2 linked regions of the Macaca mulatta genome follow. The protein of the gene in region 1 interacts with the protein of each later gene in a pairwise test. Links are inferred from orthologs where the notes say so. Each region holds a gene or a part of one and is shown on either strand. Other genes may lie near its edges. The genes, in order: RNF40 and NCBP1.

What was found.
Region 2: the proteins of RNF40 (region 1) and NCBP1 interact in binary tests that used the Homo sapiens proteins (3 or more experiments, as listed by UniProt). The two-hybrid records come from large-scale screens. The link is inferred for Macaca mulatta from reciprocal best matches to the Homo sapiens genes RNF40 and NCBP1.

Annotation. Positions count from the first base shown.
Region 1 is NC_133425.1:29,393,383-29,397,188, reverse strand, and holds part of RNF40 (E3 ubiquitin-protein ligase BRE1B), read right to left. Parts: coding exon 3,418-3,806; intron 3,330-3,417; coding exon 3,212-3,329; intron 3,111-3,211; coding exon 2,961-3,110; intron 2,763-2,960; coding exon 2,550-2,762; intron 2,474-2,549; coding exon 2,348-2,473; intron 410-2,347; coding exon 269-409; coding exon of another isoform or gene 254-268; exon of another isoform or gene 240-253; intron 171-239; coding exon of another isoform or gene 155-170; coding exon 53-154; intron 1-52.
Region 2 is NC_133420.1:60,765,809-60,770,128, reverse strand, and holds the start of NCBP1 (nuclear cap-binding protein subunit 1), read left to right. Parts: upstream 1-1,231; 5' UTR 1,232-1,478; coding exon 1,479-1,512; intron 1,513-4,320. UniProt on the Homo sapiens protein: Component of the cap-binding complex (CBC), which binds cotranscriptionally to the 5'-cap of pre-mRNAs and is involved in various processes such as pre-mRNA splicing, translation regulation, nonsense-mediated mRNA decay, RNA-mediated gene silencing (RNAi) by microRNAs (miRNAs) and mRNA export.

The sequences.
Region 1 (3,806 bases):
CTGTATCTACAATTCCCAGGTGGACAGGGCACAACTTGGCTCACAGCCCCACCTTATACTCCTTGATCTCCTCCTGGAGGATTTCGTCAGCATCCGCATAGACCTCCACCTTCCTCTGCTTTTCCAGCTTGCGCCGCAGCCGTGAGATGTCCTCCTGGGGTAGGAGAGGCCTGGCTAAGGGCAAGGGTCCTCACCCTTGAGCCATCTGCCCCCATGATAGGTCCGTGACCATGGACCACCCTAGCCTGGCCCCTCACCCTGCACGCACCTGAGCCCTCTTGAGGTTGAAACTCTCTTTCTCACGAGCAGCCCGGCTCTCTGCCAGGCAGGGCTGGATCTCCCGCAGCCGAGTCTGCACATGCTCCAGCTGCACCTTCAGGTCCTCGGCCAGCTGGGCGGCTTCTACAGCCTGAGTGGAGTGGAACAGGAAGGAGGCACTGGTATGAGCCTGGTGACTCAGGCATGTGGAGCCACGGCCCACCGATGCTTGTGTCCAGTGCCCCAGTGACACCTGCCCTGGAGCTACTCCTGCCTCCTGATCCCTGAGCCCTTCCCTCCTGTTCTCCCTCTCAAGTTCCTCCCCTGTGTGATGCTGTCTGGTTTTTGAGGCTTCACAAGGCTCTCCTCTTTGCTCCCCTCAACTTCCCCAACACACGCACAGCTCCCCGGGCCTCAGCTCAAGAGTCACCTCCTGAGAGGCTCCCCTTTTTTCTTTGACAGCACCTCAGATTCCTGCATAAGGCATACTGTGACCTGCACTATTTTATTTGGGGGATTACTGGCCTGCTCTGCCTGCCAAGACCTGAAGTTACAGCTTTGACTGGAAGGCAGGGACCTTCTAGTTCCCACCGTCTCCACAGCAATCAGCACAAGGCCTAGTACATAGCAGGGGTGTAAAATATACTGCTTAAATGGGCTGGGCGCAGAGGCTCACGCTTGTAATCCCAACACTTTGGGAGGCCGAGGCGGGCAAATCATGGGGTCAGGAGTTTGAGACCAGCCTGGCCAACACAGTGAAACCCTGTCTCTACTAAAAATACAAAAATTAGCTGGGTGTGGTAGTAGGTGCCTGTAGTCCCAGCTACTTAGGACACTAAGGCAGAAGAATTGCTTGAACCTGGGAGGCAGAGGCTGCAGTGAGCTGAGACCAAGCCACTGTACTCCAGTCTGGGCAATAGAGCTAGACTCCGTCTAAAAAAATAAACCAAAAAAAAAAAAAACCACAAACACACTGCTTAAATGAATGAACTAACTGGAGAAGAAAACAGCTTCAGAGGAAATGGAAATCAATGTTAATGTTAAGCTTTTAGCCAAAGCTAGACATTTCTTATATTTAACACAACTATGTGAGAGGGCACATCATCCCCAGTTTACAGTTCACCAGTGAGTGGTTAGAAGGTAGAGCCTGGAGTCAAGGAGGCTTGGACCCACATACCAGGGCCACTCCCTCTTGAGCATATCAGTCCACCTCCCTGAGCCTCAGTTTCCTTATTTATAAAATGAGGTTAAAAACAAAATTCGGCCAGGCGTGGGGGCTCACGCTGTAACCCCAGCACTTTGGGAGGCCAAGGTGGGCGGATCACAAGGTCAGGAGTTTGAGACCAGCCTGGCCAACATGGTGAAACCCCATCTCTACTAAAAAAAATACAAAAATTAGCCGGGCATGGTGGTGCGCACCTGTAATCCCAGCTACTTGGAAGGCTGAGGTGGGAGAATTGCTTGAACCTGGGAGGTGGAGGTTGCAGAGCCAAGATCACAACACTGCACTCCAGCCTGGGCGACAGAACAAGACTCCATCTCAAAAAAAAAAAAAAAAAAAAAAAATTTCCACCTTTTATTTTTTTCCTAGGGACAGAGTCTCATCCTTGTCACCCAGACTGCAGTGCAGTGGTGTGATCATAGCTCACTGCAGCCTCAACCTCCAAGTGATCCTCTCACCTGTCAGCCTGTCACTTGAGAAGCTGGGACTACAGGCACATACCACCACAATCAGCTAATTTTAAAATTTTTTTGTAGAGATGGGAGTCTCACTATGTTGCCCAGGCTGGTCTCCAACTCCTGGCCTCAAGCAAACCTCCCGCCTCTGTTTCCCAAAGTGTTGGGATTACAGGCGTGAGCCCCCAAACCCGTAAACACCATCTTGATAGGATTAATGAGACTGAAATGTGACCAAGCATGTCAAGCACTCAGCATGTGGCCTGGCGCATGTAAATGTTCAGGATGTGTGAGCTGTTCTGTGACAGCCTGGCTTCATCTTAGGCTATCGCGTTGGGTGCTCTGAGCAGAACCGGAAGGTGAGGAGGTGAGCCAGCAGCCCAAGTTGTGTGTCCCCCTGGCCCAGCCTCACCTTCCGCTTGTTGAGCTCCAGGGCTTGGCTGCGCAGCGTCAGCTCCTTCTCCACACCCCCAAGGCTGCCCTGCAAGGCCCGCTCCTTCTCCTCCAGCTTCTGCACAGTCAGCAGCTGGGCATCCACCTAAGGACCAGAGGAGGACTCAGGGGCATGACCCCCGCCTCTCCAGCTCCACCCTATAAGCTGGGGGCGGCCATACCTGGGACTTGAGGCCAAGGACCTGCTCGCCCAACTCATCCTTCTCCTCCCGCAGCAGCTTGTGAATCTGATTGGCCTTGATCCGCTCTGACATCAGCTTAAAGTTGGCATCGTCCTTTTCCCGCAACTGCTGTAGCAGCCGCCCATTCTGTTCCTGCATGTCCTCAAAAGCCTGACCTGTCACATCCATCTCTGAGAGCAGAGCCTCCTCCTCCTGCAGCAAGTGGGAGGAGACAAGATGGAACATGGGAAGTGGACAGGATGGCTATGGGGGAACCATGGGAAAACGCAGCAAAGCAAAGAACCACAGAGGGGACCCAGATCATCAAGGTGCTGCAGGCACTACAGGCACCCAACAGGGTTTGAAGGGATCTCTCTGCATTCGGAGGCGAGGGCAACACAGGGGCCGCACCTGCTTGGTGGCACCCAGCTTGCGCTGCAGGTGTTCTATCTGCTCCTCTGCCTGCCGAATGCGCCGCAGGGCATCCTCATCCGCGATCTTCTTGCTCTCCCTTCGATCCCTCTCCTCCAATTCCCGGATGCGGCTCCGCAGCTCATCAACCTACAGCACAGGGAAAAAGGAACTCTCTTGACACTGCTTCCTGCTGACCTAGGACTCTGTTCTGCCTTTCTGCATGTCCCACAAGCCCCAGCTGCCCTCACCTCGGCCTTGGCCTTGCGTTCTGCTGCCATGAGCTGCACCTTATCCCGCTGTTCCTTAGGTGCTGACTTGTACATATCCAGCAGCAGTTTCATCTCCTTCTGGCTCTCCTGGGCCTTCCTGGCAAGGAGGTACAGGAGGAAGTCTTGGTGAGTGGGACTGGAGGCCACCTGGCAGGGTCAGGAAGGAGACAGGAATACAGTCTCACTTGAGCTCTGCTCGGAGACCCTTGAGGAGTTCTGATTCCTTCCTCTTGGCTTCTTCCACCTTGGCCTTCTCCCGATCGGCCCTTGAGAGAGCGGAGGCTACAGGTGGAGGACCCAAGCCAGGACCTTCTCGTTCCCGAAGCTCCCGCTTGGGCCTGGCCTCGGGTTCTCGGCCCCGGGAGGAAGGGCCCTGGGCCCCAAGGGTTAAGCCCTGGACATCCTCTTCAGAGGGGACCAGCTCCTCCTTCTTCACTGAAGTGGTAGTAGTGGTGGTGCCAGGCACTGGAGCCATTTCCTTTCTGTTGTCGGGGGTACTGACAGGGCCTGGCCCACCCTCCTCTTTCCCTGGGGCTGGGGCACTGAGGCCAGAGTCCTCTGGGTGGCCCAGGTT
Region 2 (4,320 bases), on another chromosome or scaffold:
AGACACGGTCTCGCTTTGTCCCCCAGGCTGGAGTGCAGTGGTGTGATCACGGCTCACCGTATTCTCGACCTCCTGGGCTCAAGGGATCCTCCCACCTCCGCCCCCAACCCTCCCCTCGAGTAACTGGGACTACAGGAGCCAAACACTAGGCCCGGCTAATTTTTTTTTTTTTTTTTTTTTTTTTCCCTGTAAAGACAGTGTTCGCCTCGTTGTCCAGATGGGTCTTGAACTCCTAGGCTCAAGCGGATCCGCCCACGTCGGCCTCCCAAAGTGTTGGGATTACAGGCGTTAGCTACCCCGCCCGGCCGTCACAGGAGACTTTTAAACAGAGCAGTAACACGATCTGATTCAGGATTTGTGTTGAAAGGAGAACAGGCAGGGTTTACAGATCATTGTTATGTAAAAAGTGAGGGAAAAGAGCTAAGAAAGACTCTCTAAATTTTTGGATTAAGCAGCCGATGGATGACGTCATTTACTGAAATGGGTAAGACTGAAAGAGAATTAGGCCGGGAGAGTGAAATTTCAGATGGCCATGGACAAAGCAGATAAGCCAGTATGGTACTCATAAAGACATCAGGGCAGGGGACGGTCACACACAGGCATACAGGTACCCAATAACCCTTGATTACTAAAACAATCATTTGTTCCTTCTTAAGCAAACAACTTAGGGAAAATGACAGCCAGCCGGCAAGCCGGGAGCAGCACGCTCGCGTCAGGGCCGGCCTTTCCAACCCAGGGGGAGGCACGTGCGGCACCGCCTCCCGCCCAGGCCCCACCCCGCATGCCGAGCTTGGCCCAACCTCTCCGCCCACTTTTCCCAAGGCGGCAAAAGCCAGAAAGTGGGAGTAGACGAGCACATACCCGCCAGTCCTGATCCTTTCTTAGGTCTCTCTTCCCTGCACTGTTTCCACCTAGCAATTGTTACCGCTCACCGCCCTGCAGTGTGTTCCCCGTCGCGTGTTTGGGTAGAAAAGCTCGTTCGTGACGTCACCAGGCTCCGGAAGTCTCCTGGACGTCGGCGCAAGGGCCGCCGGGAAAACCATTGAGAAGCCCCGGAGGACCGGCCTGAGCGGAGGCGGGGACTAGAGCGGCCGCCGGCACCACCCGCCTTCAGGCGTACGACGACAGCGGTCCGGGGTCTCTGACTGGCCGAAACGGCGGCACTTTCTGCGTGGCCCCGGAAGGACACAGAGCGGAAGGCGGGAGAAAGAAGCAGCCGGCAGGCGGGGGCAGCCTGAGGGGGCGGTTGCGTGTGTGCCCGACGCCCGTAGCCCACTGAGCTTCCTCACGCCGGCTCTAGCAGCGCCGAGCCCACCCGGCGGCCTCTCCTGAGCTTCCGGGAGCCGTGGCGAGCGAGTGCGCCTGCGTGCCGGCCCATCCGCGCGCCTCGCAGCTGTCCTTGCGCCGGCCAGCGGCAGGACAGTTTCCTCGGCGCTTACCGCCTGGTTTCTGGGCTCCGCGGCGCACCGGAGGGCAGCATGTCGCGGCGGCGGCACAGCGACGAGAACGACGGTGAGTACCTGCAGCCCGGCCGCGGAGGCCGCTCCCGGTTGGGAACCGAGGCTCGGCATCTTTGAGTGTCCATGGAAGAGACTGGAAGCTCTTCTCCCCGGGACCGTGTGGGGAGCCGCGGAGGGAAAGAGGGGAATACAGTGGCGGTGTGACTGGGCGGCTTCTAGAAAGCGACTTTTTTTCTCCCGCCCCAGTTCTTTGAGTCAAGGGCCGATCCTCGGGAAAGGAGGCCTGGTGAACCCCATGGGTAGACCCTTGGTCTCTAAGGAGGCTTCAGAATTTGGTCCTTAGCACCACCGAGCAGGGAAGCACACCTGTGTCCGTGCTGCCGCGTCTTAGGGACCCACTGGTCCCAGTGTCTCGTTTTAACCTTCAAAGCTGCACCTGAGAAGGGCTCGGAAGAATTCACTGAAGGAAAGAACTGAGAGATCTCATGAGTTGCAATCTGAACTCTGTTCCGGTAGTGGTCATCCGTTGATTTCCCTTATTTCGAGCTGCAGGGAAAGAATATTGTCTTACCCACGCCCAAGAGGTCCCTAATAAACAGACACAGGTTACTGCAGATTTTGAAGTGGCCGTAAGCGCATTTCCCTCGTGTGAGAGAGAGTGCTAGAAAACTAACTTCAGGCCTCAGAGAGTTAGAACAGGGGTTCCCATCTGCATTTGGATGATTGTGCTCGTGGAGATCATAGTGTTGTCTTCATAAAGACGGAATAATTCTAGTTTTAACAACAAAAAAATGCTTATATTATACATAAGCCTTACAATCGGTCAAAAACACAAATCCACACACCAAAAAAGTGAAACTTAGAGTAATTCTGTTAACGTTTTAGTGTATTGTTTTTTGAAGAGAGTGTAGAGTAGTGGTTAAGAGGTGAGACTTTGGAACCAGAGGGTTTAGATTCAAAGCCAGACCCTACCATTTACTTGGTGATCTTTTCCAGGTTATGTAATCTCCTTAAACTTTAGTCTGTAATATAGACGTAATGATACTTATATCTTCTGGGTTTTGTGAAGGTTAGATGAGGTAATACACATCAGCAACGATGATGTTTTAATCATTTGCCAGCGCTTAAGAGGCGGTAAACGTTAGCAGATGCTGTCAATGTAAGAAAAGAAACCGTAACAGACATTTTAAATTGAGTAAGTTTTATCCATTAACGTTTGTCTCTCCTTGAGTGTTGTGGCAGTTGAGGTGGAGGCAGAATCGCACGCATTTAGTTTTAATAGTGAAACACCAGATTTCTTACGAAGGCGTGGTTTGAGAGGATATTCTAGTCCAGCTTTCTCATCTGACACCTAAGGGTTTAGAGATTGAGCATAACACGGAGAGACAGCTGTCAGTTCCCAAACACCAGCAATAGCAAATCCAGTCCGGGGCTCTCTTCACTACCCAGGTATAAATTAAATAACTATGCTGCATGCTTTGATTTCTAACACAAGAGGCTTCTTGTGTAACCTGTGTGCAAGGCACAGAAAATACAATCCCCTCCCCTTTTTTTTGAGACGGAGTGTCACTCTTGTTAGGCTGGAGTGCAGTGGCGCGATCTCGGCTTACTGCAACCTCTGCCTCTCAGGCTCAAGTGATCCTCCCATCTCAACCTCCTGAGTAACTGGGACCACAGGCGCAGGCCACCACGCCCAGCAATTTTTATTTTTCCCTGTATTTTTTGTAGAGACGGGGTTTCGCCACGTTGCCCAGGCTGGTCTTGAACTTCTGAGCTCAGGCGATCCACCCGCCTCGGCCTCCCAAAGTGCCGGGATTACAGATGTGAGCTACTGCGCCCGCCGATAATACAATTTTCTTATGCTTTGTAATTGACTAATCAAAAACTAATATACTTCTCAAGTCATTACTTGGGGGTTGGAGAACTTGAGTGTTTTGTTCTTTCCAATTTCTTTGTTGTTCTTATGCTTTCTTTCTCTCACTTATAGGTAATCCCTAAAGAGAGAGGAAATGTCATTGTAGGGCATCCTAGAGAATTGGAATGCAAATATGTAGAAAAATAACTTTTGCTTTGGTTATTGGGAGACTTACATAACTTTCTTGGAGTTGGCTTCATTTTAACACCAGCTTGCAGCCAAATCGCTGTCCATTTGGGTCTTGCTGCAGGAACCTCAGAGTAAATAAGACAAGTAAAACAAGGCCTTCATTAAGCAAAAGTTTTTAAGGTTGGTATTTTAGTATGGGAGAGGCAGATACAGTTCATGTTTGATAATACAGCAAATCTGAAATTTTTGTAAATTGCCACAATTTGGATAACAATCAGCTGGAGTTTACCCTACATAGTGATCTGAATCAGATTATTTTGGATACTTTCCTTTTAGTTAAACATCTATTTTTTTAAAAATGAGAACTCTTAGAAGCTTAAGGATTATAGAAGGCTATCTTAAAATAGGCTAGGAATTATTACAGTCAGAATTAAATAGGTGCATCTGAGCATTTCTGGACAGTTGTCAGCTGTTGTCAGTCTCTGCCCTGACTTTCATATGCTTGACACTCACTCTCTCTCTATATATAAAATACTATAATAGAATATATAATATATTTACATATATATATTTTACATAAAATATGTAATTATAACGTGTATACTTTATATATAGAAGCAATCATATGGAAAGTAATATATCTGAAAAATGATTTATTCAACAAATACTTAACAGTGCCAAGCTCTGTCCTAATTACTTGCAATACAGCAGTGGACAATATAAAGATAGAGCCTCCCCTCTAGAGTAGAGAGAAGACAGTCAAGTAAAGTGTAGTGTATCATACAGTGACAGACGCTATGGAGTGATAACAGGTAA